4 linked regions of the Elephas maximus indicus genome follow. The protein of the gene in region 1 purifies or fractionates together with the protein of each later gene. This does not show direct contact. Links are inferred from orthologs where the notes say so. Each region holds a gene or a part of one and is shown on either strand. Other genes may lie near its edges. The genes, in order: SERTAD4, PPP2R2D, PPP2R1A and PPP2R2C.

Region 1 (7,397 bases):
ACACATATTTATTGAATGCTTTCAGAGTACCAGGCGCTGTGCTAGGTGCTGGGGATACAGAGATGAATAAAAAAGACAAAAATCCCTTCCCTTGTGGCTCTTACTTTCAAGAGGGAGAAGATAAATGGTAAGTAACATAAACACATAAACTGTAGACTTAAGGTTGTTGTTGTTAGTTGGCACCTAATAGATTCCAGCTCGTGGTGACCCAATGTATGTAGGACAAAACTGAGCTCCCCAGGGTTTTCAAAGCTGTGACCCTTTGGGCCTTTCACTGAGGCACCTCTGAAGGGGTTCCAACAGCCAACATTTCTTGAGTGCTTAACCAGTTACGGAAACCCTGGTCGTGTCGTGGTTAAGTGCTACAGCTGCTAACCAAAAGGTCGGCAGTTCAAATCTGTCGGGCGCTCCTTGGAAACTCTACAGGACAGTTCTACTCTGCCCTATAGGGTTGCTATGAGTTGGAATCAACTCGACAGTAGTGGGTTTGGTTTTTTTGGTTTTTAACCAGTTACACCCCCCAGGGGTGCCTGAGATTGAAGTGTAGAGGAGGCCAAAAGCTGAAGCAGGGAGCTCAGTTCGGAAGCTCTTATCATAATCCAGGCAAGGGATGGTGATAGTGACTTAGACCAGGGTGGTAGTAGAGATGTGAAGAGGTGAACAGGTTCTGGAAAATTTTTAAAGGTAGAGACTTTAGGATTTTCTGATGTATTAGATGCAGGGTGTGAAGAAGAAAAAGAGAGAGAGAGAGAGAGGGTTGAGCATAACTCAAGGTGTTTTTTTTTCCTGGGGAACTAGTAAAATAGTGTGGTTGATTGACTGGGATGGAGAATATTAAAGCACAGGCTGGGGGTGGAAGGAGACATAGGTAGTCAGGAGTTCAATTTTAGGTCTGTGAAACTTGTGATACCTATTAGACATCCCAGAGGAGCCTGGAGATCCAGAGAGAGGTCTGGGCTAGACATACAAATTGCGAGTCAGCAACATATAGATGGTGTTCGAAGCCATAAGAATGGGTATCAGCATTCTATAAAGAAGAGGCAAGGTTCAAGGTCTGAGCTGGAGGCATGCCAGCATTAAGAGGTTCCAGAGAAGAGGAGGAACCAGCAAAGGAGACTGAGCAGGAACAACCAGTAAGGTGGGAGGCAACCCAGGTAGGTATGCTGGCCTGGAAACAAGAGTAAAAGGTGTTTCAAGGAGTTCGTTGTTGTTAGGGATCCCTGGTGGCATAGTGGTTAAACCCCTTGGCTGCTAGCTGAAAGGTCAGCAGTTTGAACCCACTAGCTGCTCCACAGGAGAAAGATGTGGCAGTCTGCTTCTGTAAAGATCACAGCCTTGGAAGCCCTAAGGGGCTGTTCTACTCCGTCCTATAGTGTTGCTATGAGTCGGAATTGACTCAGTGGCAATGGGATAGGTAGGTTGTTGTTAGTTGCCACTGAATCAGCTATGATGGTGACCCTATATATAACAGAACAAAACATTGCCTGGTCCTGCACCATCTTCAGGATCAATGGTATGCTTGAGTTCACTGTTTTGACTGGAATGATCAACTGGATCAAATGTTGCTTACAGGTCAAGTAAGATGAGAACCAATAAATGACCTTTGAATTTAGCAAAATTGAGATCATTGGTGACATTGACAATGGCAGGTTCGATGGAGTGGTGGATGAAAGCCTAAATGGAGAGGGTCCGAGAATGGGGAGAAGAGGAATAAGAGAGATTGAGTATAGATGACTCTTTTTGCTGTAAAGAGGTTGCACATTTTCAAATAAAAAGCTAGAAATTCAGGCTTTTCATTAATCCAAATGGGCATCATGTCCTCATCAGTCTGCTTACGTAAAATTTTTCTTGTTAAATGCCCCTTTCCAATGATAAAACATTTTTGCAAAATGTATTTCAGCAGTTTTAAGTCTGGCACTCTGTTCACTGAAGAAAAACAATCACTACCTTCCGTGAATCTGCAGATCAAGTTATTTTAAGTTTTATAATCAAACTTCTATCTCAGAACTTCCTACACACACATATGCAAACATATCCCAAGGTAATGACCTCATAGTTCTCAGGTTGGATATCGTAACTTCATTATAAATTGCATTCACTCATTTCAAACATTTCATTATTGATTTAGTTATTTCTTTTCCTGTGCCATAACCACTGCCAACTCACCTTAAATGCTTAAATGATGTTTCTCATTCAGTGAAAACTTAACTGCCTTTTCTACTTGTAGACACGGGTTCATGATGTCAACAGTTGGGCATTGAATTTCAGAAAACATTAAGCCTGAGATTAAAAGCAGGGCAGGGAAAGCTATCAATAAAACATGCTAACCTAAGGTATCCAAACAGGATAGGGTCAAGTTCATACTCAGATCCACAAGGGTGCTGTGAAGTACAATGATTTGATACTTGTGTTATGATGTCATTTTGTATAACATTAAAGCGCAGAGTCCTCCCACCCAAGGGCAATGCAATTTCCCAGAAGGCTTGTTTCTCAGAGCCAAAGCTGCAAAGATGCCAGTGCAACCCATGCTGTTACTTAGTCTCATCTTATTTCTCAATTTTATGCTTAATTTGCTCCTTTTGGTTTTATGTATTTTGACATAGCCAAGTAAGTGTATGTGGGGATGTCCCCCATAGTCCTTTAAATGCCATAAAACTTTAATATAGAGAGATAAAAACAGTAATAAGCCATGCCTCTAAGCCCAAATATTTACTTCCTTATTTGAGTTAGACACTAACTAGTTTTAGATACTGATTTTGGTTTTCAAGTACTTGCCCTGCTTTAAATGCCCTTGTGCCCTTTCTTACCCTCCTTACCCACAATATGAGGATTGTATTCTACCCTAAATCAGGGCACGGAGTTCCCATTGATTGCACAAAATGGCATCACTGCAATTCTTAATCCATCAGCCTACATGGTGCATGGGCCAATGCAATTTAGTATGGCTCAGAATAAAGTCAAGATGCCCAATTCCCAATTTTAGACATGCAACCCTGGAATGTCTTCTGGAAAAAATGAAATAATGCTTCTGAAAGTCTGTCGGGTTAGTCGGTTTGCAGCATAATTGCCTTTTCTCAGCTTTCTAATACCCAGAAAACCTTTGAGAGTCTTTAATGTACAAAGTTCAACAAAAATAACTTCAAAACAGATTAGTTCTAATTACGTTTAATATTTGTTTGCTGTGTTATTGAATAAACCACGTGCTTTAAAAAAAAATTCACTTAACTGTATGTCAGTCTCCCAAATTTTAAGTGTACAAATGAAATGGAAAACATTTATTACGCAAATTTAATTACAATTCTAAGAAATAAACATGCAAATTAGATAGAGTTCAATTTGCAGATGCTAATCCTCATCCTTGATCTCATTCCTTTCCTCCCTGGTTTTCAGTCTGTGTGTCTCCTTGATTCCTAGGGTGCCAGGCAGCAAGAGGTTGGATTTTTCACAGTCGGAGGATCACTGTTTTAAAGAAGTGTTATATTTAGCACATCTGGCATAGTAGCAGTAAACAAACATTATAGTCTTTGAAACACTTCTGCGCAGGTGTCTTCCCCTGACTTTATTAGGTCTATGCCTTCTTTTTTTTTTTTTTATGCCTTCTAAGCCTCTGCATTCATTACACCTGAAATGACCCATCTCGACTATGGAGGGGTCCCTAGACAGAAGTTATGAATTAATGTTTCAGAAAACAAACCCCAGTTGAGCCCAGTTCAAGGGAGAATAACTATTTGCAAACTAATGTGATCCCAGGGCTTAAATTACACTTCCCTTGACAAAAGACAACCTCCTTTATTACTTTTTTTTTGGGGGGGGGCGGTTTTCCCTGGAGGCTCCCCACCCAGAAAGATTTGCCAATTCAAGTTGCAGCAGGACCAAGATTGCTTCTTTATACAAACGCAGCTCAGGAGGGGAGCAGGCGAGGGCAGGCGGCGAGGGGAGAGTAACTGTTTGGTCCTGCAAAGACATCTGTTTCTCATCTCCGTTTGCTGTGGCGAAGGAGAAGAAAAGTCTTTTGCAAAGGGTGGGAAAGGCACAGTTTTTTTTTTAATCACACACACACACACCAGTTTTTTACACACACACACACACGGCCCAAAACTAGACCAAATTAAAAAAAGACATCCCAGAAGGTTGCAGAGTGAACACATTATTTGGCTGAGGCCAAGCCTTCAGGGCTAGGGCTGGAGCCCTGGAGCGCGTGGGGTCTGGTCTGCGGGCTGGAGCTGGGCCGGCGTGTCCCCGGGCACCGGGAGGAGAGGGGAGGAGAGAGAGGAGGGAGGGCGGGAAGGAGGCAGGGGGCGGGCTGGGGTGGGGGTGAGGGGAAGGCGCCCGGTGTGCTGCCTGAGGAGCGGCGGCGGCGGCGGCGGGAGCGGAGGGAGGGAGGGAGAGCGGGCTCTCTTGTCATGTTCCCTCTCTCGCCCTGGGGGCATCCTGCAGAACCTCTCCTCGGAAATCCACGGGGAAATGGCAAACAGGATTGACGGGTTTCACATGCTCCTCGCTAGACAGAGCCGCTCATTACCGTAACCGTCTGCAGCGACGGCGGCGCGGCGCCCCAGACGCGGCGGCGGGACCTGCCGGGACGCTCGCCTGGGCGCACCAACCGCCACCTCTTACCCGGCCGCCGCGCGGGGACTGGCGCGAGCGCACGGGCGGCCGGCTGGTGCCGCGCCCAGAGCGGACAAGCGGGAGCTGGAGCGCTGCGGCCGCCGCCTCCTCGCTGACCCCGCGGTAAGAGACAGGCCGGGAGCGGGCCGCGGGGGCAGGAGGCCGGAGCGGCGGAGGGCGAGGGCCGGTCCCCGGGGTGAGGGCTCGTGCCGACCGACATCCACGCGGCCTCCCGCGCGCCTGCCCCCAGCGCTGCGCCGGAGACACCGCGTGGACTCGCACCAGCCCGGGCGGGGCCGGGGGCGGCCTGGGTTTCTCCCTGGGCCGGCGCGCGCCGTGGCGCCTTTCCCGGGCAGGAGTCGCCGCCGCCTTGAGGGCTGCTTCGGTTGCTGCCCGCGCGGACATAGCCGAGTCTAGGGGCGGGTGGAAACCGCACCTCTGGTGGGACCTCGGTCTCCCTAGTCCCCCATCCTAGCGGACGGGGGCCCGTATCCGGGATGCCCCTAGGTCTGGACGCCGCGGCGATTAGCAGGTGGGGAGGGAGGGATGGTCGATGTCAGGAGCGCGCGTTTGCAAGAAAAAGGAATCGCTGCAGAAGCTGACACGTTCTGTCCCCCGCCACCTCCGCCCCCGCACCTTCCTCCCCGTCAGCCGAGCCGCGCTGCGGGCGGCGGCGGCTTCTCTGTCCTCAGCTCACCTCCCCGGCGGGCTGAGGCTGCTGCCCGCCGGTCCACGCCTCCGCCTCTCTCCTCCCTTCCTCCCTCCCGCCTCCTCGGTCTCAGCAACTTTCCGGAATGCCCGCCGGTGCCGCGGGGATGGGGGGAGAGCGGCCGGGGCTGCGGGTGGCGGGGACAGGACGGATGCCCGCGGGCGGCGCGGGCAGCTTCCTCGGGCCCCGGTTCTCCGGGCGCGAAGGGCGCTCCCGTGGCCGCGGACTCTGAGTGGACTTGGCCGGCAAGGGAGGGAGGGCCGGGCCGGCGTCTGCTGCGGACTGGAGCGCGGGGCCCGGGCCAGCCTCGCCAGAGCCCTGCCAACGCCGTGAGTCATTTCCTTGGAATTCTACCTTTGCTGTTTATTTCCCTTAGAAGAAAACTTGTCTTAAAAAAAAAAAAGGGAAGAAGAAAGAAAGAAAATAAAGAGAGTAAGAAAAATAATAGCTGTTATTCTTCAGAAGAGGCACACGGCTCCCGCACCGCGTAAAGACAACTTGCCCTTTGTTCCCAGACACTTGGGGGTGTTGTTTACTTTCCCCTGTGGACGGCGCCCAGGCGGGCGCTGCTCCCCACCCTGGAGAGGGGTGAGGGGCTGCAGCACCGACCCCCGGGGGTGTGTCTGTGGGGTACGCAGGACAAGGTGGCCGCCGCCCTCCCGCAGGGGTCGGTCTTCCAAACCTCGGACTTTCCTGTTAGGTTTGGTCTGGGGAGAGCCAGCGCCAGGGTTTGGCCATCCGGGCCTCCCTAGCTCCCCTCAGACCCTGGATCCACATTCCCAGCCCCAGGATCCGACCTGAAGGCTCCTGACCTCCAGGGGCTGCAGCTGAGAAATGTACTCCCCGAGGTAGACAGGTGCACTGCTGGGACTGGCAGAGAATGCTTCTGTCAGCTTAGAAGGATTGAAGGATTCGGCACTGCCCTTGCTCATCCCACCACCACCACCACCACCACCACCAAAAGCTGGACAAACTGTTGAAATCTTGTCACCGACAAGGTTGAGTTCAGGGGCTTGATTCCATCTGGGCAGGATACTTAAGACTGGGAGTGTCAAAAAGGAAGTGGAAATACCAACCCTTTCCTTCTCTCCTTTTCACTACTGGAGTCAGAACTCCAGCTGCCCTGATGCTTTTAATAAAATGTCCTCTAATTACCAGTGATGTAGGGGGAGAGTGAAGAATGACCAGGAACCCCTTTAGACTAAAGCTGACCAGGAATCTGGGATACCCTGTGCTGTTTGTCAGCCACTTCTATTAGCATCATCATGGCGGCTGGGGTAAGAATAAGCCCAACTCATCTGAAAAAACCAAATTATGTAGACATGCCAGGTAACTGTACTATGAATATCTGCTGGAAAAGCCTGACATTTTAGCCCTCATTCTTCTGGGAATGCTTGAGGTGTCATTCCATTACATTCATCTGGCTTATAAAATAGACCTGCAGGAGCCTAAACGTAAAGAGTTAGGTTTTTTTTTTTTTAACCCTCATGAGTTAGAGGTTAAGAGCTACAGCTGCTAACCAAAAGGTCGGCAGTTCAATTCCACCAGTCGCTCCTTGGAAACCGTATGGGGCAGTTCTGCTGTGTTCTGTAGGGTCACTATGAGTCAGAATCCTTTCCACGGCAACGGGTTTGGTTACAGGTTATAGACGCAACACACGTTAACACCCTCCTTTTGAATCCACTTACCACTGATGTTAAAAAAATTTTTTTTGCCATAAATATACATCTTTGTGGATCTTTTTAATATTAACAGCACATAATTTTATGGACATGAACTTCTGAGTTCGGTAGCAAAATTATAATGTAAATATCATCGTACAGAGAGTAATAGTTTGGATCTGTACATATAATACAAATAATCATGTGAAACACTGGTGCTTAACACTCTGGATTCCAATTTTTCATGAACGTTGAGCCTGCCTTCTTAATTTAATGTCCCACTGTAAGACTCAATTGCAAAATCTCCCTGCTCCCAAATAATTCCAGTTCATTCATGTTTTATTCAGACTTACATAAATCACTTACAGAACTTACACTCTCCAGTTTAAGATTTTGTGTATAGAAGTTTCCAATTAAAA
Region 2 (6,943 bases), on another chromosome or scaffold:
ATCTTCAAAGTTCAGAGTGCCTACTTTTAACCCTCCTTCCCCCAACCCCTCTACCTCTGCAGATACCACCCTCACTGAAGTGAGGTGAGGTCTCTAGCTTCAATTTCTAATGCCCTTTCTTATCACCCATCCCAAAGGAATGCAGAAACATGGTCTAAAGCGTAGGGTTAAGGCTGACTCACGGTAAAGCTCAGGCCAAAATAAAGCCTTCGCAGGCACGCCTCAGAGCCATGCATTCGTTCAGATTTCAGCGCACCCCAAGTCCTCCGGTCAAAGCTTAGTCCCTCTCACGAACTACCTACCCATTCCCTAGTAACTCTCTGAGCATCAAAATGTCTTCATTAAGGTTGAGTTTGGGCCAGAAATTCTTCTGCAAAGCATTCTGCCAGCTTCTTTTTACATGTTGCTTAAAAATTACCAGTTGCTAAAGATTGCATTTTCCTTAGTTACTGTCAAACTCTACGTTAATGATGCAATTCAAATTCATATCACAACTATGTGACAAAGTAAAGAACACCTAAAAATGTGTTAACCCTGCCAAGTGACTAACCCCTTGAGTGGGTTAAAAGAGAAAGTTGCGATACACACACTATCAGCGCAAAGCAGTCACCAAAATGATGGCAACTCCAAAACGTGAAACTTCTAGATGAGCTCAAATTTCTGCTCAAAACCGGGGTTTAAGGCTGCAAAAACTTCTAATCAGTTTAATTCTGAGAACAAAACCTTTCTGTCCCCATTCTTGTAAGAGAAAGAATGCCATCTTCAAAGTATCAAGTCACACTTAAAATATACCATTTCAGTTATATTTAAATTTCTATTCATTTAACTTGGCAATAAAAACTTCTAGAAAAAAGAAAGAAACCAGAAACTAAGACAGGCCTTAAGCTCTGCCACCAAACAAACATTTTCTGCTTTCCTCTCGATAGAAATCACCACTTCACCTGGGTAAAGGTGAACTGTTCCCTACTTGGGACATAAATCAAACAACAAAAGTAACATATTTTAGATTGATCCAAAGGAAACAGAATCAACGTGCTTGTTTATGCTTATTTACACTATATAAAATCATCAAGCTACAACCAAAAACCATACACGACTTCACAAATTTCTTAGAGTACAACTGCACTTCCCTAATCTGGGCACTGTCTGTCCCATGGGCCAAGGCTCGCAGATGTCCCCAAGGGTCATGCATCAAAGGAGACACTGCCAGGAAGAAGCACAGGGAGCAGGCAGAGGGAGTAAAGGGCACAGGAAGAGCCAAGGTTACTTGGGGCAGGGAAGATGAACTTGGTGCAAAGCATCAGCCAATGACAATTCACTCTTGAAAAGTGAAAGGCTCACAATGTTCAGTAAGATGGCTGAACAACAAAAAAAGTTTATTATTCTAAACCTAAAATGTTAAACTTCTCAGTCTCTAAAAATCATTTTTACACTCAATTTTTCCCTTTAAGATGACATGTGGCTTCATGGGAAGCTGAGAGAGGCAGGGTACACCCTACGGAGTTTCCCACCCAGTCCTGAAACTCTAAGCCTTAGCCCACTTGAGACTATTGTGAAAAAACCACCAGCCAATTTAATGCAATGCCATAAGGTTCGAGATTAAAACCTAAAAGGGAAAAAGAAACAGACATCAAGATTGGTGGTAGAATTCAATAATTTTAGAACCCTAGAAGGCAGTCTTAAGAATCCAGTAGACCAACTCTCTTCTTAGAGAGGAAGAAACTGAGCCAAAAAAAAGAGAGAGATTAAAGACTGCGCTGGGGTCTAGAGAACCGTGGGCCCCGTCCCTAATCCTCAAGTACAGTCACCCCGATTTTAAGTATCCTGAGTCCCCAACTTCTGCAGTTATTTTCTTAGTTCCACCAAATACAGGAGGCGGGGGCCACTTCCATTGGGAAGAACCCAGAACTGGGCTCAAAATACCCCCGTTCTCATCCAGTCTCCGCCACTCCCCCGGTCTGTGACCTTAGGCTACTTACATAACCCCTCTCAGCCAATATCCCATTAAAAATGACACATCCGTGAGCGCACCAAGAAACCATCACGTACAGAACAGCGCCCCACTGCAGCCGTCCCCACGGGGCGACTCCTCAGGCCACCATGGCCACCAGGCAGAGGGGAGCGTGGTCCCGGGGAGCGGGGCGAGTGCCGGCTTGTCCCTCTCAGACCTGAACCCGGGCCCGTCCCCCCGCGTCTGCGCCCCCCAGCCCGTGCCCCAGGCCTGTACCCGCACGTCTGCGCCCCTCGACCTGTGCCCCGGGCCCGTCCCCCGCGGCTCTGTCGCCCCTCGACCTGTGCCCCGGGCCCGTCCCCCGCGGCTCTGTCGCCCCTCGACCTGTGCCCCGGGCCCGTCCCCCGCGGCTCTATCGCCCCCCCCGGTCTGGCCCCTCCAGGCTTGCCGTCCCCCTCTCCGGCCTGAGCCCCAGCCTGTACCTGGGCCGCCCTCCGAGGCCCGCGAGCGCCGGGGGCCCGGGAAGTGCTCGGGCCGGTCCCTCTCGGGGCCCGAGGTGCGGCCGCGGCCGGAGGCGCGCACAGTGACCCGGACCCGGGTTGCAGGGCCCGGCGCGATTCCGCTCGGGCGGCACTGCACCAGCGGGACCGCGCGGAGGCCGAGGCGGGGCCGCGCGCCGGGACGTGCCCGTCACGCCAGGAGCTGCGCTCGGGCCGGCCGAGCCTTACCTTCCGCCACATCCTCGTCGATGGCCCCCTTCACCTGCGAGAAGCACCACTGGAAGTCGCCGCCGCCCGCGGGGCAGCCGCCGCCCCCGGCTCCTGCAAACACACGAGGGGCATCAGGCCCGGCCCCCGCCCCCGCCCGTCCCGCCCCCGGCGCGCGGCCCCTCACCTGCCATCGCCGAGGCGGCCGGCGCTGAGGCGGCGGCGGGCGGACGATGCCGCGCCGACTGCGCGCACGGAACGAGCAGCCGCCGCGCTACCGCCTCCCGAGAACCTCAGCCCGGCAGTCGCCTCCGCCAGTGATTTTTTTTTTTCCCTTTTCAAAATGGCGCCCAATGCCCGTCGCCCCGCTCGATGACGTCATCCCTCCACCTCCAGTGAGAGGGGCCGGGGCCGGGGGCGGGGCCTGTCCCGGGAGGGCGGGGCGAGGCTGGCGTGCGGCCCGGGGGCTGTCGGCGACGCGCCCCGCGTGGACTGCGCCTGCGCGAGACGCCGTCGCGCGCCCGGAGCCGCTCCCCGCCCCATGACCCGCGGTCGGGAGGAGACGGTTTAGGGACGCAGGAGGAGCGCCGGGCCGGCGGGTGTCCGGAGCTCCTTGGAAGAACACTTGCGGGGCCGCTCTCAGGGAGGGTGTAGAGGGCTCGAAGCGGCGACCCCGAAGCACCCAGTGGACAGGCTTCGAAAGCAGGGTGGACACTCGACTTCCAGTGCTGACTCAGCCTCGCTCTCAGGCGTGCCCCACCGCCAGTCTGAGCCCCGCCCCTCGGACCTCGACCAATTGGAGCACCGCCCTTTTGCGAGCCCTGCCGCGGAGCAGCCAATGGGGGCGCGCTCGGCGCAGGGCTGTCTGGGGGTGGGTGGGCGTGGCCTCCGGGCAGGGGTGGGCGAGGCCTGAGTGCTGCTCTGGCCCGCCCCTTGGAGCCTCGGCCAATGGAAGGAGCCAACAGGGGCGCACTAGGCACGGCGATGTCCGGACGGGTGGGGCTTCCCGGCCCGCGCGGCGAGTCCGCAGGTTCGCGGCCAGAACCCCGTGCCGAGTTCGCCTGTGTCTGTGAAGTCGGCGGCTCAGGGATTCTTGGAGCTACCTAGGGAGACACTTTGATGAAAACCTTTGGTTTGAAATACAACGTGGCTGGCCTCTTCTTCGTTTGTGGGTTTGTTTTCTCTGGTATCCGAGAGATTACCCATTCATTTATGGGTTTCACCGGTATCTGAGTCCTAACTCGTATCAGTGATGTTGCAGAGTTGGCGGTGGTCGCATTGCACAGTTAGAAGACAATGCTCCAAATCAGGAGAAACAAGGACCTAGAGTCTCCGTTCACTGAAGGAACGGTTATTGATGGCCACGCCCTGCTCCAGCTGCCAGGGTGCGGCGGGGGCAGAGAGTCTGACCTCCCCAGCTTATATTTCAGACAGGGATTCCGGCGACAACAAGAGCAAGTTATGTAATAAGTCACATGGTGCTAGATAGAAAAATAAGGTAGAGATCGGGCAAAGGGCGTATATTTGGGGTGTGTGTGGGGAGAACTTGCAATTTTAAACTGAATGATGAGGAGGACCATGAGGGGTTGAGGGAGCCAGCCGTGCAATATCTGGGAAAGGTTGTGCCAGGAGGTGGAAACAGCGGGTGCAATGGCCCTGGGGCAGCGTGCATCTGGCAACAAGCAAGGAGCAGCAAGGCAGGAGGCCGGGGGTGGGGGAGCAAAGTGGGTGAAGGGAGACGAGGTAGACGTGAAGACAGGGAGGTAAGGCGAGGAGAATGGAGGGTGTGCCCATGTGGGCCCATTCAAGGATTCTGATGGGTGGGGGACCCTATGGGGGTGATGAGGAGGGGAGGGTGGTGACCGATGGGGCTGTAACAGGCCACTGTGGCTGCCGTGCTGAGAACAGAAGGAGGGACTCCAGGGCCAAGGCAAGGAGACCCGTGAGGGACCACTGCCGGGTCCAGGCAAGGTGATGAGGGGTGTGGACGTGGGTGTGAAGTGAGAACGGTGAGAACGGTTGGATTTCAGAGCCGCAGTGTTGCCAAGGCAGGGCTTTGGGTGGGCGTGCAGGTGGGATGGATGTAGAGGAAGAAGGGACCGAGGGACCACTGCACTCCTGGGGTCTGCAGCCCTAGCTCGAGGAGGGAAGGACCACAGAAGGAGCAGTGTGGCAGTACAGGCCCAGGGGTGGCCATCAGCTGAGGGAGTGGTGGCAAAGGCAGCTAGACATCCGAGCCGGGATCACAGGGAGGTTGGGGCTGGAGTGTGAACTCAGGGTCAGCAGCATCTTGAGGCTGGAATGGTGAGATCACCAGGAACGGGGGTGGATGGGGAAGAGAACCGAGGTCAGAGTCCGGAAGGGTGTGGGAACAGAGAATGGAGGACAGAGGAGCAGCCTTCCTGGAGCTGGGCGGGGAGCCAGGGACGGGATGGGAGCTGTGGCTCTCCAGTGCTGCAGGCGGGTGGCATCAGACAGGCTGCAGGGTGGACCTTAGCTTCCCCGGTAGGAGCCCAGAAGCCCAGAGCAGCTGCCGGGGGGGGGGGGGCGGTGGTGGGGGCAGTGAGCACCACAGCCCTTCGGGAACCTTGTCAGGAGAAGCAGAGACAAGGCGCCATAATCTCCCCTTTTTATGTGCAGATTTGTCCAGCCTGACGGTGACCGCAACTGAAACGTTGGCCAGCTATCAGACTGTCTTCTGTGTAATTGCTTTGTGTATGGAAGGAGTCCCTGGGTGGTGCAAAGGGCCAACGCATTCACTTGTAATCAAACGGTTGGAGGTTCCAGTCCACCCAGAGGTGCCTCGGGAGAAAGATCAGGGGATCTACTTGCAAAAAATCGGCCACTGAAAACCCTGTGGAGCACAGTTCTACTCTGACACGCGTGGGTCACCGTGGGCCGGAGTGGACGCCACGGTAACTGGTTTACTATTTTTTGTTCCGTTTTACCATTATGTGTGGAAAGATAAGTCTTTTCAAATGATGGCAAGATAACTTGGTTCAGATGTGTTCTTTCACGTATTGGCTACCATTAAATTACATTAAAAGACAAGGTGTGGTCCACAGAAGTAGCATATTCCTGACAATAGTGAGCTGTCTTCCTTGGGACCCACCCTGCGTCAGCTGGCCTGCAAGAAGTTTTAACTCTTCTTTTCTGTGATAATAAAGAGCTTTAAATATCTCTGTGAATTTCACTGTTTGCATTCTAATTGGTGTTGACAAGTCTTGGGTATTGCAAGACAGTTTTCTTTTTCCTTATCATAATTTTTAGAGCTCATCGCGAGTTGTGAAGTGTCTGGTGTGTATTAGAGTCTAGTGTACTGTACTCACACAACGGAATACTATTTAGTAACGAAAAAGAACAAATTACTCCTAAGAGCGACAGGGGCGAATCTCAGAAATACAATGCTGAACAAAAGGAACTAGACACAAAAGAGTACGTGCTGTAAATGGTGATTCCGACCACGGCCACCCCGTGCGTGCAGGGTAGAACTGCTCCATAGAGTTTTCTAGGATGTGACCTTTTGGAAACAGATCACCAGGCCTGTCTTCTGAGGTGCCTCTGGGTGGGTGCAAACTGCCAATATCTCAGTTAGTCATCGAGCGTTTGACCGTTTGTGTCACCCATCCGGCGACTCCTTCCTCTCCATGATGTCACCAGGAGTCAGAATCTACTAGATGAAAAAAAATTATTTTTTAAACAGTCTGACTGCTGAGCCTCCGTTTAGATCGCTTATAATATGGAGACAGGAAAAAACATGGTTGTGGGAGGAGGCTGATTGTGAAAGAGCAAGAGATACCCTTCTGGAGCCAGGGGGATGTTGTATGTCTTCACTGGAGCCAGGGGGATGTTGTATGTCTTCACTGGAGCCAGGGGGATGTTGTATGTCTTCACTGGAGCCAGGGGGATGTTGTATGTCTTCACTGGAGCCAGGGGAATGTTGTATGTCTTCACTGGAGCCAGGGGAATGTTGTATGTCTTCACTGGAGCCAGGGGAATGTTGTATGTCTTCACTGGAGCCAGGGGAATGTTGTATGTCTTCACTGGAGCCAGGGGGATGTTGTATGTCTTCACTGGAGCCAGGGGGATGTTGTATGTCTTCACTGGAGCCAGGGGGATGTTGTATGTCTTCACTGGAGCCAGGGGAATGTTGTATGTCTTCACTGGAGCCAGGGGGATGTTGTATGTCTTCACTGGAGCCAGGGGAATGTTGTATGTCTTCACTGGAGCCAGGGGGATGTTGTATGTCTTCACTGGAGCCAGGGGAATGTTGTATGTCTTCACT
Region 3 (7,933 bases), on another chromosome or scaffold:
ACAGAATGAAAAACTGCCCGGTCCTGCTCCATCCTCACAATTGCTATCAGGCTTGAGCCTATCGTTGCAGCCACTGAGTCAGTCGATCTTGTTGAGGGTCTTCCTCTTTTTCACCAACCCTCTATTATCCTTGTTTCTAAGGAACATTCTGGCTGTACTTCTTCTGAGACAGATTTGTTTGTTCTTCTGGCAGTCCATGGTATATTCAATATTCTTCACCAACATCATAATAATTCTTTTGTCTTCCTTATTCATTGTCCAGCTTTTGGATGCATATGAGGTGATTGAAAACACTATGGCTTGGTTCAGGGGCACCTTAGTCCTTAAAGTAACATCTTTGCTTTTTAACACTTTAAAGAGGTCTTTTGCAGCCCAATGCACTAGGTCTTTTGATTTCTTGACTACTGCTTCCATGGGTGTTGATTGGGGATCCAAATAAAATGAAATCCTTGACAACTTCAATTTTTTCTCTGCTTTCCACGATGTTGCTTATTGGTCCAGTTGTGAGGATTTTTGTTTTCTTTACGCTGAGGTGTAATCCATACTGAAGCCCGTGGTCTTTGATCTTCATCAGTAAGTGCTTCAAGTCCTCTTCACTTTCAGCAAGCAAGGTCATGTCATCTGCATAATGCAGGTTGTTAATTTGAGTCTTCCTCTAATCCAGATGGCACGTTCTTCTTCATATAGTCCAGCTTCCCAGATTATTTGTTCAGCACACAGATTGAATAGATATGGTGAAAGGATTCAACCCTGATGCACACCTTTCCTTAAGTCACACAGTATTCCCTTGTTCTGTTCCAATAACTGCTTCCTGATCTGTGTACAGGTTCCTCATGAGCACAATTAAGTACTCTGGGATTCCCATTCTTCGCAGTGTTATCCATAATTTGTTATGATCCACACAGTGGGATGCCTTTGCATAGTCAATAAAACACTGGTAAAACATCTTTCTTGTATTCTCTGCTTTCAGCTAGGATCCATCTGACATCAGCAATGATATCCCTGGTCCTCTTCTGAATCAGGCTTGAATTTTTGGCGGTTCCTTGTTGATATACTACTGCAGCCGCTTTTGAATGATCTTTAGCAAAATTTTACTTGTGTGTGATATTAAGAATATGGTTTGATAATTTCTACATTCAGTGGGATCACCTTTCTTTGGAATAGGCATAAATATGAATCTCCTCCAATCATTGGCCAGGTAGCTGTCTTCCAAATTTCTTGGCATAGATGAGTGAGTACTTTCAGTGCTGCATCCATTTGGTGAAACATCTCAGTTGGTATTCTGTCAATTCCTGGAGCCTTTTTTTCACCAATGCCTTCAGTGCAGCTTGGACTTCTTCCTTCAGTACCATTGGTTCTTGATCATACGCTACCTCCCGAAATGTGTGACTGTCGACCAATTCTTTTTGGTACAGTGACTCTGTGTATTCTTTCCATCTTCTTTTGATGCTTCCTGGGCTGTTTAAAATTTTCGCTGTAGAATCCTTCAATATTGCAATTCGAGGCTTGAATTTTTTCTTCAGTTCTCTCAGCTTGAGAAATGCTGGGTGTGTTCTTACCTTTTGGTTCTAACTTCAGGTCTTTGAACATGTCATTATAATACTTTACTTTGTCTTCTTGGGCCGCCCTTTGAAAACTTCTGTTCAGCTCTTTTACCTTATCATTTCTTTCATTTGCTTTAGCTACTCAATGTTCAAGTACAAGTTTCAAAGTCTCTTCTGACATCTATTTTGGTCTTTTCTTACTTTCTTGTCTTTTAAATGACTTCTTGCTTTCTTCATGTATGATTTCCTTGATGTCATTCCACAACTCGTCCGGTCTTCGGTCATTACAGTTCAATGTTGTTGTTGTTGTTAGGTGCCGTCGCGCTGGTTCCAACTCATAGTGACCCTGTGTACCACAGAATGAAATACTGCCTGGTCCTGCACCATCCTTATAATCATTGTTATACTCAATGCATCAAATCTATTCTTGAGATGGTCTCTAAATGCAGGTGGGATATACTCAAAGTCTTACTTTGGCTCTTGTGAACTTGTTCTAGCTTTCTTCAGCTTCAACTTGCACTTGCATATGAGCAACTGATGGTCTGTCACTTTGTCTTACTGTGGGGGTTTGCGTGCTGCTGTAATGCTGGAAGCTGTGCCACTGGTATTCAAATACCAGCAGGATCGCCCATGGCAGACAGGTTTCAGCTGAGCTTTCACATTAAGACAGACTAGGAAGAAGGACCTGGCAGCCCGCTTTTGAAAAAATTAGCCAGAAAAAGCCTTGTGAATACCAGCGGAACATTGTCTGATACGGTGCCAGAAGATGAGCCCCTCAGGTTGGAAGACACTCAAAAGACGACTGGGAAAGAGGTGCCTCCTCAAAGTAGAGTCAACCTTAATGACGTGAATGGAGTCAAGCTTTTGGGACCTTCATTTGCTGATGTGGCACAAGTCATGAGAAGAAACAGCTGCAAGCATCCTTTCATTTGGATGATAATGATACCACCTTATGTCATAGATCTGTTTTGAGCATTAAATGAATTAATTCATAGAGTACATTTTGTTGTTGCCGTCGAGTTGATTCTGACTCATATTGACCCTATAGGACAGAGCAGAACTACCCCATAGGGTTTCCAAGGAGCAGCTGGTGGATTTGAACTGCCAACCTTTTGGTTACCAGCCTAGCCCTTAACCACTATGCCACCAGGGCTTCATTTTACTACAATTATTATCATTGCATTGATATTTTAATTGTATAGGTAGTTCTCAAATACTTATTAAAGTTTGTGGCTTTGTTTTGGCATTTTGGAACCAAAAATTTCTTCTTTTTGTCTCTGGGGGAAAAAAAAGTGTTATAGGCCTTTGAAAATCCCTGTGTGGCACAAAGGGTTTGTGCTCAACTACTAACCTAAAAGTTGGAGGTTTGAACCTACCCAGTGATGCTGCAGAAGAAAGCCTGGAAATCTGCTTCCTGTAAAAATTACAGCCTTGAAAACCCGTGAAGCAGTTCTACTTGTAACATATGGGGTTTCCATGAGTCTGAATGGACTGGACAGGAAGGTTTTTCCTAGGCACCTAAAGGTTAAAAGGACCCCAGCCCAAGATCCCAAGCAGTCTGACATCAGGGCAGGCATCCTTAGGTAAGAAGATCCATGGCTTCAATGGGCTTCAGTGGGGAAGCCTGGGTATATGAAGGGCAGGGGCTAAAATATGTACCCCTCCCCAAGGATTAGTTTCCTGACTGGCATGGCATGGCTGTTTGGAAAAGATACTTGGGATATTCATACTTGTCAAGGGGCCCTAGCTCAGCCCAGCCCTTCAAGTGAGAGTAATAAAGCGGGAAGGGTCATTTCAGGCCTTCCTATCCCCTCCAGCAGGACCCTCAGTAAGGGTGGTCCCAGGATTTCACGTGCAGGGCTGTTCAGAGAGAGGTTGGGAACAGATCCGAATCTGACCAAACCCTGCTCCCATTCTATGGAGGAGGCAGATTGCAATACAAAGGCACAGCTCGCTCTAGGGATGAGAACTTTGAGAGAGGGATGTTCTTTGGCTCTGGAGGGCCGGAGGACTGAACCTGAAGGCAGGGAAAGCAGGGAAGGCCCTTGGTGACCCCTTGTGTTACAGAGTAGAACTGTGTTCCATAGGGTTTTCTTGTAAATCTTTACAGAAGGAGCTCTGGTGGCGCAGCGGTTAAATGCCTGCCTGTTAACTGAAAGCTTGGCTGTTCAAACCCACCAGCTGCTCCACAGGAGAAAGATGTGGCAATCTGCTTCTTTAAAGACTGAGAGCCTTGGAAACCCTATCAGGCAGCTCCACTCTGTACTATAGGGTCACTATGAGTCAGAATCAACTCAACGCAACACAATGGGTTTTCGTTTGTTTAATCGTTACAGAAATAGATCGACAGGACTTTTTTCCAAGGCACCACTGGGTGGATTTGAAGTGCCAACCTTTAGGTTAGTAATCGAGCACAAACCATTTGCGACACCAAGGAAAGAGAAGACATTTATGTACAGTGCACTCCAAGTAGAAAGTACAGCTCGAGCAAAGGCTTGTTGGCATGGAAAAGCAAGATGTGCACCCAAACCAAACCCGTTGCCATCTAGTCAGTTTCAACTCATGGTGACTCTGTAGGACAGGGTGGAACTGCCCCAAAGGATTTCCAAGGAGCGACAGGTGGATTTGAACTGCCAACCTTTTGCTTAGTAGCCTGAGCTCTTAACCACTGTGTTACCAGAGCTCCAAGATGTGCAAGATGTGCATAGATGGCTCTAATTTTCCAGAACTGCTGGAGGGTAAAAACGAGAGGGGAACGTAAGCACAGTAATACCTATTCAAAACCACAACAGTTTTTAATTTAAATACCAGCTCGCGAGGCTTGCGTTTTATCCAGGGAGCAAGGCAGGTCGCCACCCTTCCCTGACCTTCGGTTTCCCCGGACATAAATCAAGGACCCTTTCTCTCCCCTCCTCCTTCTCCCGCAAAAAAGTCCAAGAGAGTCTGCCGCCAACCAGCCTGGCCACCGCCTCACAAGTCAAATCCCTCAGACTACCCGGGTCACCCCATGACGTAATTCATCCCTAGCGACGCACGCGCAGAACCCTCCTCCCGGACTCGCCGAAGGACAGGCTTCGCCTCCTCCCAATCCCGTCTCTCATTGGCTAGAATCAACTGTTCGTCTCTGCCGTTGTTAGCGGCAACGTAGGTGGGCACAATCCTGGTCGCTAGGATACCGCATACTTCCGTTTCCTTCCCACTCTCCAAGGCTTCTTCAAGTCCAATCTCGTCCATTCGACCAATGGCAAATGGACAGTAGGCGGGACTTTATTTGCCCGGACCAACGAGACGCAGACTTGGCCCGCCGTAGCACGGCCAATGACCGTAGGGCAGCCCCTGTAAAGTGGCTCGGGCGCCCCCACGCCCGTCTTTCCTCCTCCTCCCAGCCCCGCCCCTCCCCATCCCGGTTTCAGCCCGGCGCTGGCCGCAGTCTGACAAGAACGGGACAGAGCGAAGATGGCGGCGGCCGACGGCGACGACTCGCTGTACCCCATCGCGGTGCTCATAGACGAGCTCCGCAACGAGGATGTTCAGGTCCCGAAGCTACAGGGGACTCGGGGAAGACGGGAAGGGGGACGTAGGGGCGCGGGCGATCCTCGCGGACAAGGCTCAGTGTTCGCTGGGAGTGGCGGAAGGGGGCGCCGGCCAATCAGCGCCCAGTTCTTATGTCTCCGGTTCCCTGAACCCGATGAGACAGTGTTCTGGATTGGGTGTCGACACAGCGGAGGGCGGGAGCGCGGGCCGAAGGGTCCCAGGCCTGCCAAGTGCGCGCGGCGGCTCCGGGGGTGGGAGGCCAAGGCCACGCGGGGAGGGGGGGTCTGCCACCTGGGTGGGGGAGAGATTGGCTGTGGCCCAAATGGTCCCTTGGGGATGGGCTGGGCGCGTGACTAGTTCCGTGGGGGAGGGGCCTCCTGTTTGGCTGGGTCCCGGGTAGGTTTACTCTTTCCTGGGTTTGGGCATCTGGGCCGCAGTGCTAGGGGATCAGCTCTACCCAAATGGTACCGATGGCTGAAGGCTTTCTTCCCAATTCCTGCGTTCCCCCTTCCAATGTTGATGTAGACGCCCGAAGAGGAGGGGCACGGAAAAACAATCCTCTAAGGAGTGAACTAGCCAATTTTAGAAGCGAATTTTGTAGAAACCCGCTCTCTTCTCCCCCCAGTTTTCCCATTGGATGGGGGATGCGCAGTTTCCTAAACGTGCTATATTTTTGTGATGAGCGAGGCGTATGGGAATAGGGGGGCCCAGAGCCGTGAGCCCGTCTGGGGAGGAATTGAGAAGAGTTAAGGCATCTCTGAAGAAAGGACTGGCGATCCGCCTCCCAAAGGTCTTAGCCTTGAAAACCCTATGGAGCAGTTCTACTGTGCGCACATGGCGTCGCCATGAGTCAGAATAAAGTTGATGCAAGTTAACAACACGGCTTCGTGGTTAGTAACCTGAGTGCCCTTCCCATGTCCACTTCCCTCCAGTTGTGTGACCTTCGCACATTACCACACCCTTCTAAACCTCTGTTTGCCATAATCGTGGCCTAATGATAGTCCTGGTCTCCTTGGGTGGTTGAGAGAACTGAACAAGTTAATAATGCAAGTAAAGCTTGGCCTATTGTAAGGGCCCAATAAATGTTAGCTGTAATTATTGGAAGTGGTGATTGAAGATGTCCCATCTTTTGGGCCTCAATTTCCCATTTGTAAAATTGAGGGAAAGGGGTCCACTTGGAAAGCGGCGCTCAGGCTCCGAGGCTCCAGACTCTTGTTCTGGAGTCAGACAGGCTCTGCTTGTATTCCTGGCTCCTCCCCCTTACCAACTGACAGGAGCAAGTTAGTTAATCTCGCTAAGCCTTGGTTTCCTCTTCTGTCCAATGGGGATAATTACCTAGTTCGTAGGGGTGTTCTATGAATTGAGTTGTTCGATAAACACTTGCCATGTATCTGGTAAGGAGCCTTGGTGGCAGGCACAGTGGTTAAAGCGCTCGGCAACAGGTCACCTGTTCACCCAAAGGTTGGTGAAAGGTTGGTGCTGGCTCGGAAGAAAGACACTGCAGTCTGTTTCCTTAAACATTACAACCTCGGAAACCCTATGGGGCAGTTCTACTCTGTCCTACAGGGTTGCTATGAGTCAAAATTGACTCCACAGCAGTGGTTTTTGTTTTTTTTTTTAATGTATCGGATAGGAGTACCTGGGTGGCGGAGATGGTTAAAGCGCTCAACTGCTAGCCAAAAGGTGGACAGTATGAACCCACTCACAGGTGCTTTGGAAGACAGGCCTGGCCTGACCTGGCCTGGCAATCTGCTTCTGAAAAGTCACAGCCTTGAAAGCAGTTCTACTCTGACACACGTGGAGTCACCATGAGTCGAAATCAACTCCAAGGCAACTAACAACAATAATAACGTGTATCAAGTGTGGTGCTGGGAATATAGGTGGCACCAGCTACTATGCAGGAGACAGGTGTGAAGCATGTGAACATCGTGTGAGAAGTGGTGGGAAGGAAACAAACAAGTTGGGTTAGTGAACTAGTAAATATCTGTTGGGCCTCTACTCTTCTACGGGGCACTGTTCTAGGCACAGGGATACAGCAGGGAAAAAGGCACAAAAATTCCCAGCTTCTCAGAGCTTAAGATGTAGTGACAATAAACAAGACAGTAAGGAAAATGTATAGTACGTTAGAAGGGGATAAGTAGCATGGAGAAAAATAAGGAGAGATGGGGTGCGATTTTTAGAAGAGTGCTTAAGGTGGCCCTGCTGAGGAGACATTAGAGCAAAGACCCAATGGAGGCAAGGTAAAGAGCCATGAGGCTCTCTGGGCAGAGGACAGGATCCGTACAAAGTGGGGTGGGGGCGATCCATTTTAGGAGATGCAGGAAGGCCTCTCTGAGGCTGTGAAGCTCAAGAGAAGGTGAAGAGCCTTCCAAGAAAAGACATTTAATGGCAATAGTTCTCAACCCAGGGTGATTTTGCCCCTAAGGGGACATTTTTCAATGCCTGGAAACATTTTGGGTTGTCACAACTGGAGGAGTCCTACTAGCACCTAGTGGGAGAGATCAGAGATGCTGCTAAACATCCTGCAATGCACAGCATAGCCTTCCACAACAGAGCTGTCCAGCCCAAAATGTCTGTAGTACTGAGGTTGAGGGGGGCTGCCTTCTGGGAAAGCCTGGAGGCGCAAAGGAGCTTGGTATTTTTAGGTTTCTTTTCTTTATTCCAGTTCTATTGCTGCTGTAACAAATGGCCTAACTTAGTGGGTGGATGGTTGTCGGTGTGTGCCACTGAGTTGATTTCGACTCATGGCAACCCTATGTGACAGAGTAGAATTGCCCCATAGGGTTTTCTAGGCTATAATCTTTATAGAAGCAGATGACCAGATCTTTTCTCCCGCAGAGCAGCTGGCAGTTTCA
Region 4 (7,616 bases), on another chromosome or scaffold:
CTTCTGTGGCACGGCTGGGTGCATTCAAATCTCCCACCTTTAGGTTAGTAGTCGAGCACAGACCATCTGTGCCACCAGGGACCCTATCGTGACACGCAGGCTGAGCCAGATGGAGGAAAAATGGCATAGGGAAGCATCACGTGCAGACGCATCAAGTCTTGAAGGCCTGCTATCTTGGTCTCCAGGGGCCACCACAACAAAGCACCACAAAGTGGGCTTTAAGGAACAGAAGTGCATGGTCTCAGTTCTGGAGGCTGGAAGTCCGAGTCAGGGTGTTGGTAAGACCCTGTTCTCTGCAGTCTCTAGTGATAGATCCTGTCTCTTCCCTCCTGGCTTATGCCCCCTGCTTGGTGAGCTGCTTGCGTCAGTTACCAAGGCTGAACAGACACACGCCGTCACCAGTAGTTCCCCTGTGAGTGTGCTCACCCAGGTGCGTGCACGGCAGTGCAGAGACGCAGCAGCACCGTTCACAGCAGCCGCCAAAAGGAAAACCACCCGCAGTCCCTCAGCAGCAGAACGGGTGGTAGTCTATTTCCACAACGGGATATTACACACCAGTGAACGATGAATAAATTACAGCTACACACATCCAACAACACGAGTGCATCTGTTGAGCAATGGAAACCAGAATACAAAACCATTCATACCCTATGACTCTAGTAAGCACCATGACAGCATCAGACGCCCAGGTGGTGTCACCTTTGGGTAGTGACCCGGGGTGGGGGAGTAGGCAGTGAGCCTGCCACGGGAGGCTGGCAGTGCCCTGTCCTGACTCGGGTGGCAGTCATGTGAGCGTCTGCTCCGCGGCGACTCATGGAGGTGAACATTTAAGTCGTGCACTTTTCTGTGCATGTTGTTGTTGTTGGGTGCTGTCGAGTCGGTTCCAACTCGTGGTGACACTGTGTACCACAGAACGGAACACTGCTCAGTCCTGAGCCATCCCCACAATTGTTGCTACGCTTGAGCCCATTGTTGTAGCCACTGTGTCAATCCAGCTCCTTGAGGGTCTTCCCCTTTTCGGCTGACCCTGTACTTTACTAAGCATGATGTCCTTCTCCAGGGACTGATCCCTCCTGACAACATGTCCAAAGTACAAGAGATAAAGTCTCACCGTCCTGACTTCTTAGAAGCATTCTGGCTGCACTTCCAAGACAGATGTGTTCGTTCTTTTGGCAGTCCATGGTATATTCAATATTCTTCTCCAACACCACAATTCAAAGGCGTCAATTCTCCTTTAGTCTTCCTTATTCATCGTCCAGCTTTCACATGCATATGAAGTGATTGAAAACACCATGGCTTGGGTCAGGCACCCTTTAGTCCTCAAAGCGACATCTTTGCTTTCCAACACTTTAAAGAGCTCTTTTGCAGCAGATTTGCCCAATGCAGCGTGTCTTTTGATTTCTTGACTGCTGCCTCCGTGGGTGTTGATTGTGGATCCAAGTATAATGAAATCCTTGACAACTTCAGTCTTTTCTCCATTTATCATGATGTGGCTTATTGGTCCAGTGGTGTGGGATTTTTATTTTCTTTATGTTGAGGTGTAATCTTACTGTGTGTGTGTTATACTTCAACTAGAACAAACTGGGGAACAGAAGGAAGCTGAGAACAGCTCTTCAGGGAGGACTCGTGGGGCAGTGGAGAAGCAGCCACGGGGAGGAGGGGAAGAGAAGGTGGTGTCACCAGGGCCATGGGACAAGTGGGGGCAGTGGCAGGGTGGGAGCCGCTGAGAGCCCAGCCAGGGGAGGAAGCTGGCAGTGCCTCCACTGGTTTCAGGAGCAGGGAGACATGATCCAGCTGGTGGGGCCAGGCTTTCTTCTTCGGGGAGCAGGGCAGGGTGGTGGTAAGGAGCTGCCTGGGAGGGCTCTAGCAGGGAGCGGGGGATGGCCAGTGTAGACATGTGTTCTTTGGCACTTTGCTGGCAACACGGCGGAGTTGGAGGGTCCCACGGAGGCACGGGGACAGGAGGGTGTTGAAGTGGAAGAGACCTTGCAGGTTACTTGTCCCTGCCCATCTCTGCACCTTGCTGACACACCACCTTATTACAGAGGCCCCCATCCACTCGCCCCGCCCTCCGCTGTCCAGCCCTCTCTGTCCCTGCACCCCGCTTTCTCTTCCTCATAGCACTCATCAGGACCCCCTCCCTGAGTTACGTGTGCATTTTGCATTGACTCTGCGGCCCCTAGAAGGTCAGCCCATGAGAGCTGGAGTCCATCTGCTCTGTCCCCGCTCTCCCGAGCCAGATGGAGCCTGCACGCAGTCGAGCTCTCCCACAATTGTCATGAGTGAATGAGTAGGGGGCCTACAGAGGGAAAGGCTGGGGATGTGGACAGTCCTGTGAGGTGTCAGGGGGGAGGGCAGTGCCTGGTCACAGCCCTCACCACTGAGAGGGACATGGGAGACAGAGATGGGTGTGTGGCAGTGGGTGCTGGCCAAGAGAGGTGTGGAGGCCTGTGTTATGAGTGGGGGCTGGGGATGAGGGGGTCCGGGAGAGGAGAAGTCTAGAGGGAGGGGAAGGAGACGGCACGGGGGCACAAGAGACGGCTGGAACCACGAGCCCCGTGAGCTTGGAGATTTCCAGCTTTGGAGCCTGAAGCCTGGCTTCGAACCAAGGAAGCAGGTGATTGCAGGGTGGGATTGGGGCAGGCGTTTTTCCTTGGGTCTGGGCACCCAGGAGGGTGAAGGTGATGCCACTGTGGAGTGGGGGTCTCAGCAGAACTGACAGGGCAGAGAGGAAGGGTTGGGGAAACCGGGGCGGGGGGTGCTCAGAACAATCAGAATCGTGAGGGCTAATGGCAGCCCAGTAGGGCCAGGCCCCTGCTAAGATGCTTCCAGGCCAGACTGTGTAGCCCCAGCCCTCGCTGGCCTCCAGGAGGTGAGCCCAGCCTACCTGTCGGTGTCCCTGGGTGGAGCCAGGGGAGTGAAGAGGGCAGGGTAGAGCATGGGGTGCTGGGTTTGGATATGCAGTGCAGGGCAGGTGAGGAGGCTGGGTGATAGGGAGCGAGGAAGACGAGCCTCGTTCCTTCTGGGTGGGGGAGATGCCCCAGGTGTCAGCCCCCTGGATGGTGACTTGGGCCAAGCAGGACCCAAGGGCCTGGCAAGACCCAAAGGGCAGGTGCTGGGGCTGGATACTGCACCAGAGGACGCTTCATTTGGTCCTCGCACTGACTCTGCATCCCTGAGCTATGAGGTGGGCGAGGTGGCACCGGTGGGAGAGTTGGCCCGGAGCCTCTGGGGGGGGTCCATTCTGAGCCCTTCCTTGGAATGAAAGCCCAGCTCCAGTGGAGACAACCCTCCCACTCCAGCAAGAAGCCTAAGATGGCATCTCCACTTCTTTCTCACAGCCGTTCCCTCCCTGTGCTGACCCCCTCTGGACCCCCAAGGCAGCTGGTTTGGGGAGCTGGCTGGAGTCCCCGAGAAACCAGTGGAGAGAGGAGTGGAGAACTCTCAGAATTGGGGACCTGAGCGAAGCCAGCTTCACACCCCCGCCCAGGCCTCCAGCCAATCTGGATTCTCCCCAGCATTCATGCCCTGAAGGGGATCTATACCTCCCTCCCCCTCCCTTTCTGCAGAGACTCACTGAGCCCCTGGAGGGCCTGGTGATCCCTGTCCCTGGCCCCCACCCCTGAACGCTGGATCCCGTGCAGTAAAGGGTCTGCTCGGAAGAAGGGACAGGTATGTCGGAGGGCCCACCGTGTGCCCCGCACTGTGTCAGGGCTGGGGGTGGGCACCGGGGACTACAGGGCCCAGCTGGCTCTGCCCCTTTATCTCACCAGAGTCCGGGTGGAGCCTGAGGAGAGGTACTGCTCCGGCTGGGGGAGCCAACACCCCCCAGCCGTGTCTTCCAAAGTTTTGGCCTGTTGGGTGCAGACTGCCCCTCCCTCAGCTTCTTCAAGGGGACCCCGTTTTGTGCACAGGGCCCCAGAACTCGTGGGACGCAACGTGTTCCACCTGCTGTCCCACCGGACAACGAAAGGGCCTAGTCCCATTCCTCGTCTCCCTGCCTCCGCGGTCTCCCATTCTGCGGGGGAGGTGCCACCTCCGGCTTTTTTTTTTTTTTTTTTTTATAATTTCATTGCTGCGCCCCCCACTTCCTGCGCGTCCTGTAGGGTCTCTGCCCTCTGCCGGCGAAGCTGTCCGCCCCTCTCATCCCCCGCCCCCGCAGGCCGCCTCTTCCATCTCAGAGCACCTGGCACCCAAGGGGGCCCCACGCCCCGAGAGGACCAGCCCCGGCCGCCTCCTCCCGCCTTCCCCGCGCGCACAGTGCCATCCCAGGCGCCGCGCCGCACTCCCGAGGCCCGAGCTCCGCCCGGCGCGGCTCCTCCCGCAGGGCGCTCGTGGGCCGGGGCGCAGGGGGCGGCGCAAAGGAGGGGCCTGCGACGGCGACAGCAGCGGCGGCGGCCCGCCCGCGCACCCGGCTCGGCCCCGGCTCGGTGGCGCAGCGCCGCGCGCGTTCCCTCCCCGCCCGCCGCCGCCGCCGCCGCCGCCGCCGCCGCCGCCGCGGGCGCAAGACGCTGAGCGCGCACGGCCCCGGGATGCGCGCCCAGCCCCCGGCCCCGGCCCGCGCGAGCCCCGGCGCGCCCGCCTGACCGCCGGCCGCCATGCCCGCCCCGCGCCGCCCCCGCGGCCCGCGCCCCGGCTAGGTGCAGCGGCATGGCCCGCGCGCCCGGCGCCACCCCTGCGGATTGCATCGGAGCGCGGCGGCGGGGCATGCCCAGGGCACCGGGCACGGCCTTCAATGGGCGAGGACACGGACGCACGGAAAATTAACCACAGCTTCCTGCGGGACCACAGCTATGTGACCGAAGGTAACGTACGTGTGTCTGAGACCCCCTCCGGCCGCCCGCGGCGTGGGGATGCCGTCGCACCCGATGCCCTCTGAAGGTTTGGACCGCGCGCTGTGTGTTTGTCCACCGCTCCACCCCACCCCACCCCACCCCACCCCACCCCACCCCTTGCGGGGCCGGGAGGGAGCCAGCGCCCCCTCCTCCGAGCCGCCCTCCGGGAGGCGCCGCGGGAAGTGGCTTGCGCCCCCGGCCCGCCGTCGTGTTTAAAAAGGCCACCGGGGCGGGTCTATGGAGATATCCAGGGAAAGGCTGTGTCCTCAGAGCCTGGGCCTGGTTTCGGCCCTGCCCAGAGCCCGCAGAATTTTCTAGGCTACCCACTCCCGGGAGACGAAGAGGGACCCGGGAAAAACCCATCTGCCCATCCTCCCGGGCTCGGCTGCCGCGTGTCCCCAGAGGCAGGGTCCCTTCGTAGGAGGGAGAGGCCGCTGGTTCCGGGCTGGTGTTTTATTCCTGTGGTTTATACTGAGACGGGGAAGCTTGCCCCAAACTGTCAGGATTTCCCGAAAAGTGGGACAGGTCACCCGAAACGGGCCCTCACAGCTCAGCTCGCACCTCCATCGGGCTGGTGGCGTCTCCAGGCTCGGCGCCCTCTTTACAGGCCAGGAACTTCCAGGGATGCTCTGTGCTGACCTTGCCCAGGGGACAGTGGGGAGAGCTCCCAGCCCATCTAGGAGGGGGAGATGAACACATTGGGAGTCAGCGTGCTGCGGCGGGGACACTTGTCCGAGGCCTTCCTCGGCGCGGGGACCATCAGCATCTTTCCCAGGGGCTGCCGGACCGGCCAAGGAGGGGCTATGGGCTTTTAGCAAGGAAACCCGTGGGTGCCCCGGTGGGCAGGGTGGGGGCCCTGGGGGCACCGAGTCCCCGGGCATCGCGTCCTGTGGGGGGTGCGGAGGTGGCCGTGGCCGCGAAGCAGGGTGGGCCCGCGGCGGTGACAGGATCCGCAGTCGTGTCCACCGCCCGACACTGGCTCCGCCGGAAATGAGGCCAAGCTGGGCCAGGAGCGCGCGGGGGCTGGCGGCCCCTCCGGCCAGGCGTGTGGCGGCGGTGGCTCGGCGGCCTGGAGCGCAGCCAGGTGTCCACCTGGGCGCCTGGGCGGAGGATGCAGAGGCCTCGCGTCCGCGGCGAGAACCGCTGAGTCACGCTTCCCAGTGGGATGGGGCGGGGCGGGGCGCCGGGGCTGCGGGAAGCTTCGGACCCGGAGCTGACAGCGAGCCTTGACGCCGGCCTCAGCGTGTGTCCTAGGGAGCGCCTGGGGGTCAGGGGCCTCAGAGGTGCTGGCAGGCGCCCCTGGGCCTGGCCCTGGCCGAGGGGCGGGCGTCTTGGCGGGTCAGCTCCTCCCCCGCTATCCGGCCAGCCTGTCAGAGGGAAGCGTCTGTTTTCTCACCTGTGCTATGGGGACAAGGGCACAGAAGCCCAGGGCATGTGGTTGGTCCAAACCGAAAAGCAGTGCTCCTGCCCCATAGTGGACTTTTACAAAGGTTAATTCCTTCCTCCCACCCCTTGCCAATTATCTTTCAGAAATTCACCAGCTTTTAGCAGGGGAGAGCGGGGGAAGCCGGCAGTTGCAGGAGTAAGAGGCGGTGACTTTTAATCCGTCATCATTCGAGCATCCATTCAACAAACACTTACTGAGCACCCCCTGCTTTAGCCCTGGGGGCTGGACAGAGGCCTCTGCCCTTGTGCAGCCTGTGTTCTAGCAGCGAATCCCTTCTCTCCAAGTCTCGGTTTTCCCATCTGTGAAGTGGGGAAACTTGCCTACAGGGTCTTGGGTTTCCTGTGAGGATGGGGTGAGACCCTGTGTGAAGGCACTGTAAGATGTTAGTGGGCGGCCCACGTGTCAGTGCTGGGGCCTCACACATGATCTCACCTCCACCTCATCCCCATTTTACAGATGAAGAAACAGGCTTGGCCTTTGTCCAGGCCCCAGCCTAAGGGCAAGTGCGTGTGAGGAATAGGGCTGAGGTGCTCAGGACTCAGAGACGAGCCAGGTCAGAAGTCCTGCCCTCCAGGAGAACACAGTCTAGTAGAAGACACAATGACAACAGTTATTAGAAATATCCCAGAATTCTGGGCTCTCTAAATGAAAATGGACTTGACACACTTGCATCCCTGGCTGCATCTTATGCCCAGAGCATAGAGTGGGTCACAGGTTTGGATGTCAGACAGACTTGCCTTAAAATCCTGCTTCTGACGCCTCACCTGCTGTGCAGCTTTGGCAGGTCACTAGCCCTTTCTGAGCTTCGCTCTCTCCCTTCATAAAGCGGAGCTAACAAAGACCTCTCTTACAGGGTGGTTGGCGTGGTCAGTGGTCATCATGTGTAGAAAGCACCCAGCAGGGTCTTGGCCTGTTTAATAAATGGCACTGTTAGAATTGGAAACTTTTGTTTCTGGAAGACCTTTGTGGGCAAATAGTGCGTGCCGAGACTCACTTGGCAAAAGACCCAGGTGTGCAGACTCCTCGTCTGCCGGGTTGTGGATCCACAAGCGCTCGTTGCGCCCCAGTCGCTCTGATTTACTTCCGGTCCCTTGAACCGGCCATTTTCTTTCTTGCTCCAGGGTGTTTGCTCTGGCTGCTCGTCTGCCCAGAACACCCACCCCCTGCTCTTCTCAGGGCTGACTCCTTCTCATCCTTTGGGTCCCAAGTCAAGTGTCATCTTCGCTAGTGGGAGCCCTACTTGAGTCACTGAGTCCCTTCTTGTAAAGTCCCAAATACCTTGAGAAAATTTAGGCTTTGTTAGTCATTCATACTTTAGTGTGAATTAGTCACAC

What was found.
Region 2: the proteins of SERTAD4 (region 1) and PPP2R2D purify together in Homo sapiens (affinity purification with mass spectrometry; 3 studies listed by BioGRID and IntAct, counting the BioPlex papers as one, with this or other methods). This does not show direct contact. The link is inferred for Elephas maximus indicus from reciprocal best matches to the Homo sapiens genes SERTAD4 and PPP2R2D.
Region 3: the proteins of SERTAD4 (region 1) and PPP2R1A purify together in Homo sapiens (affinity purification with mass spectrometry; 3 studies listed by BioGRID and IntAct, counting the BioPlex papers as one, with this or other methods). This does not show direct contact. The link is inferred for Elephas maximus indicus from reciprocal best matches to the Homo sapiens genes SERTAD4 and PPP2R1A.
Region 4: the proteins of SERTAD4 (region 1) and PPP2R2C purify together in Homo sapiens (affinity purification with mass spectrometry; 3 studies listed by BioGRID and IntAct, counting the BioPlex papers as one, with this or other methods). This does not show direct contact. The link is inferred for Elephas maximus indicus from reciprocal best matches to the Homo sapiens genes SERTAD4 and PPP2R2C.

What each region holds. Positions count from the first base shown.
Region 1 is NC_064836.1:21,604,319-21,611,715, forward strand, and holds the start of SERTAD4 (SERTA domain-containing protein 4), read left to right. Parts: upstream 1-4,384; 5' UTR 4,385-4,731; intron 4,732-7,397.
Region 2 is NC_064834.1:81,628,253-81,635,195, reverse strand, and holds the start of PPP2R2D (serine/threonine-protein phosphatase 2A 55 kDa regulatory subunit B delta isoform), read right to left. Parts: upstream 3,012-6,943; 5' UTR 2,853-3,011; coding exon 2,846-2,852; intron 2,773-2,845; coding exon 2,680-2,772; intron 1-2,679. UniProt on the Homo sapiens protein: Substrate-recognition subunit of protein phosphatase 2A (PP2A) that plays a key role in cell cycle by controlling mitosis entry and exit. Involved in chromosome clustering during late mitosis by mediating dephosphorylation of MKI67.
Region 3 is NC_064829.1:94,755,205-94,763,137, reverse strand, and holds the start of PPP2R1A (serine/threonine-protein phosphatase 2A 65 kDa regulatory subunit A alpha isoform), read left to right. Parts: upstream 1-4,920; 5' UTR 4,921-5,000; coding exon 5,001-5,078; intron 5,079-7,933. UniProt on the Homo sapiens protein: The PR65 subunit of protein phosphatase 2A serves as a scaffolding molecule to coordinate the assembly of the catalytic subunit and a variable regulatory B subunit.
Region 4 is NC_064823.1:165,453,959-165,461,574, forward strand, and holds the start of PPP2R2C (protein phosphatase 2, regulatory subunit B, gamma), read left to right. Parts: upstream 1-4,614; 5' UTR 4,615-4,735; coding exon 4,736-4,805; exon of another isoform or gene 4,806-4,853; coding exon of another isoform or gene 4,854-4,881; intron 4,882-7,616. UniProt on the Homo sapiens protein: The B regulatory subunit might modulate substrate selectivity and catalytic activity, and might also direct the localization of the catalytic enzyme to a particular subcellular compartment.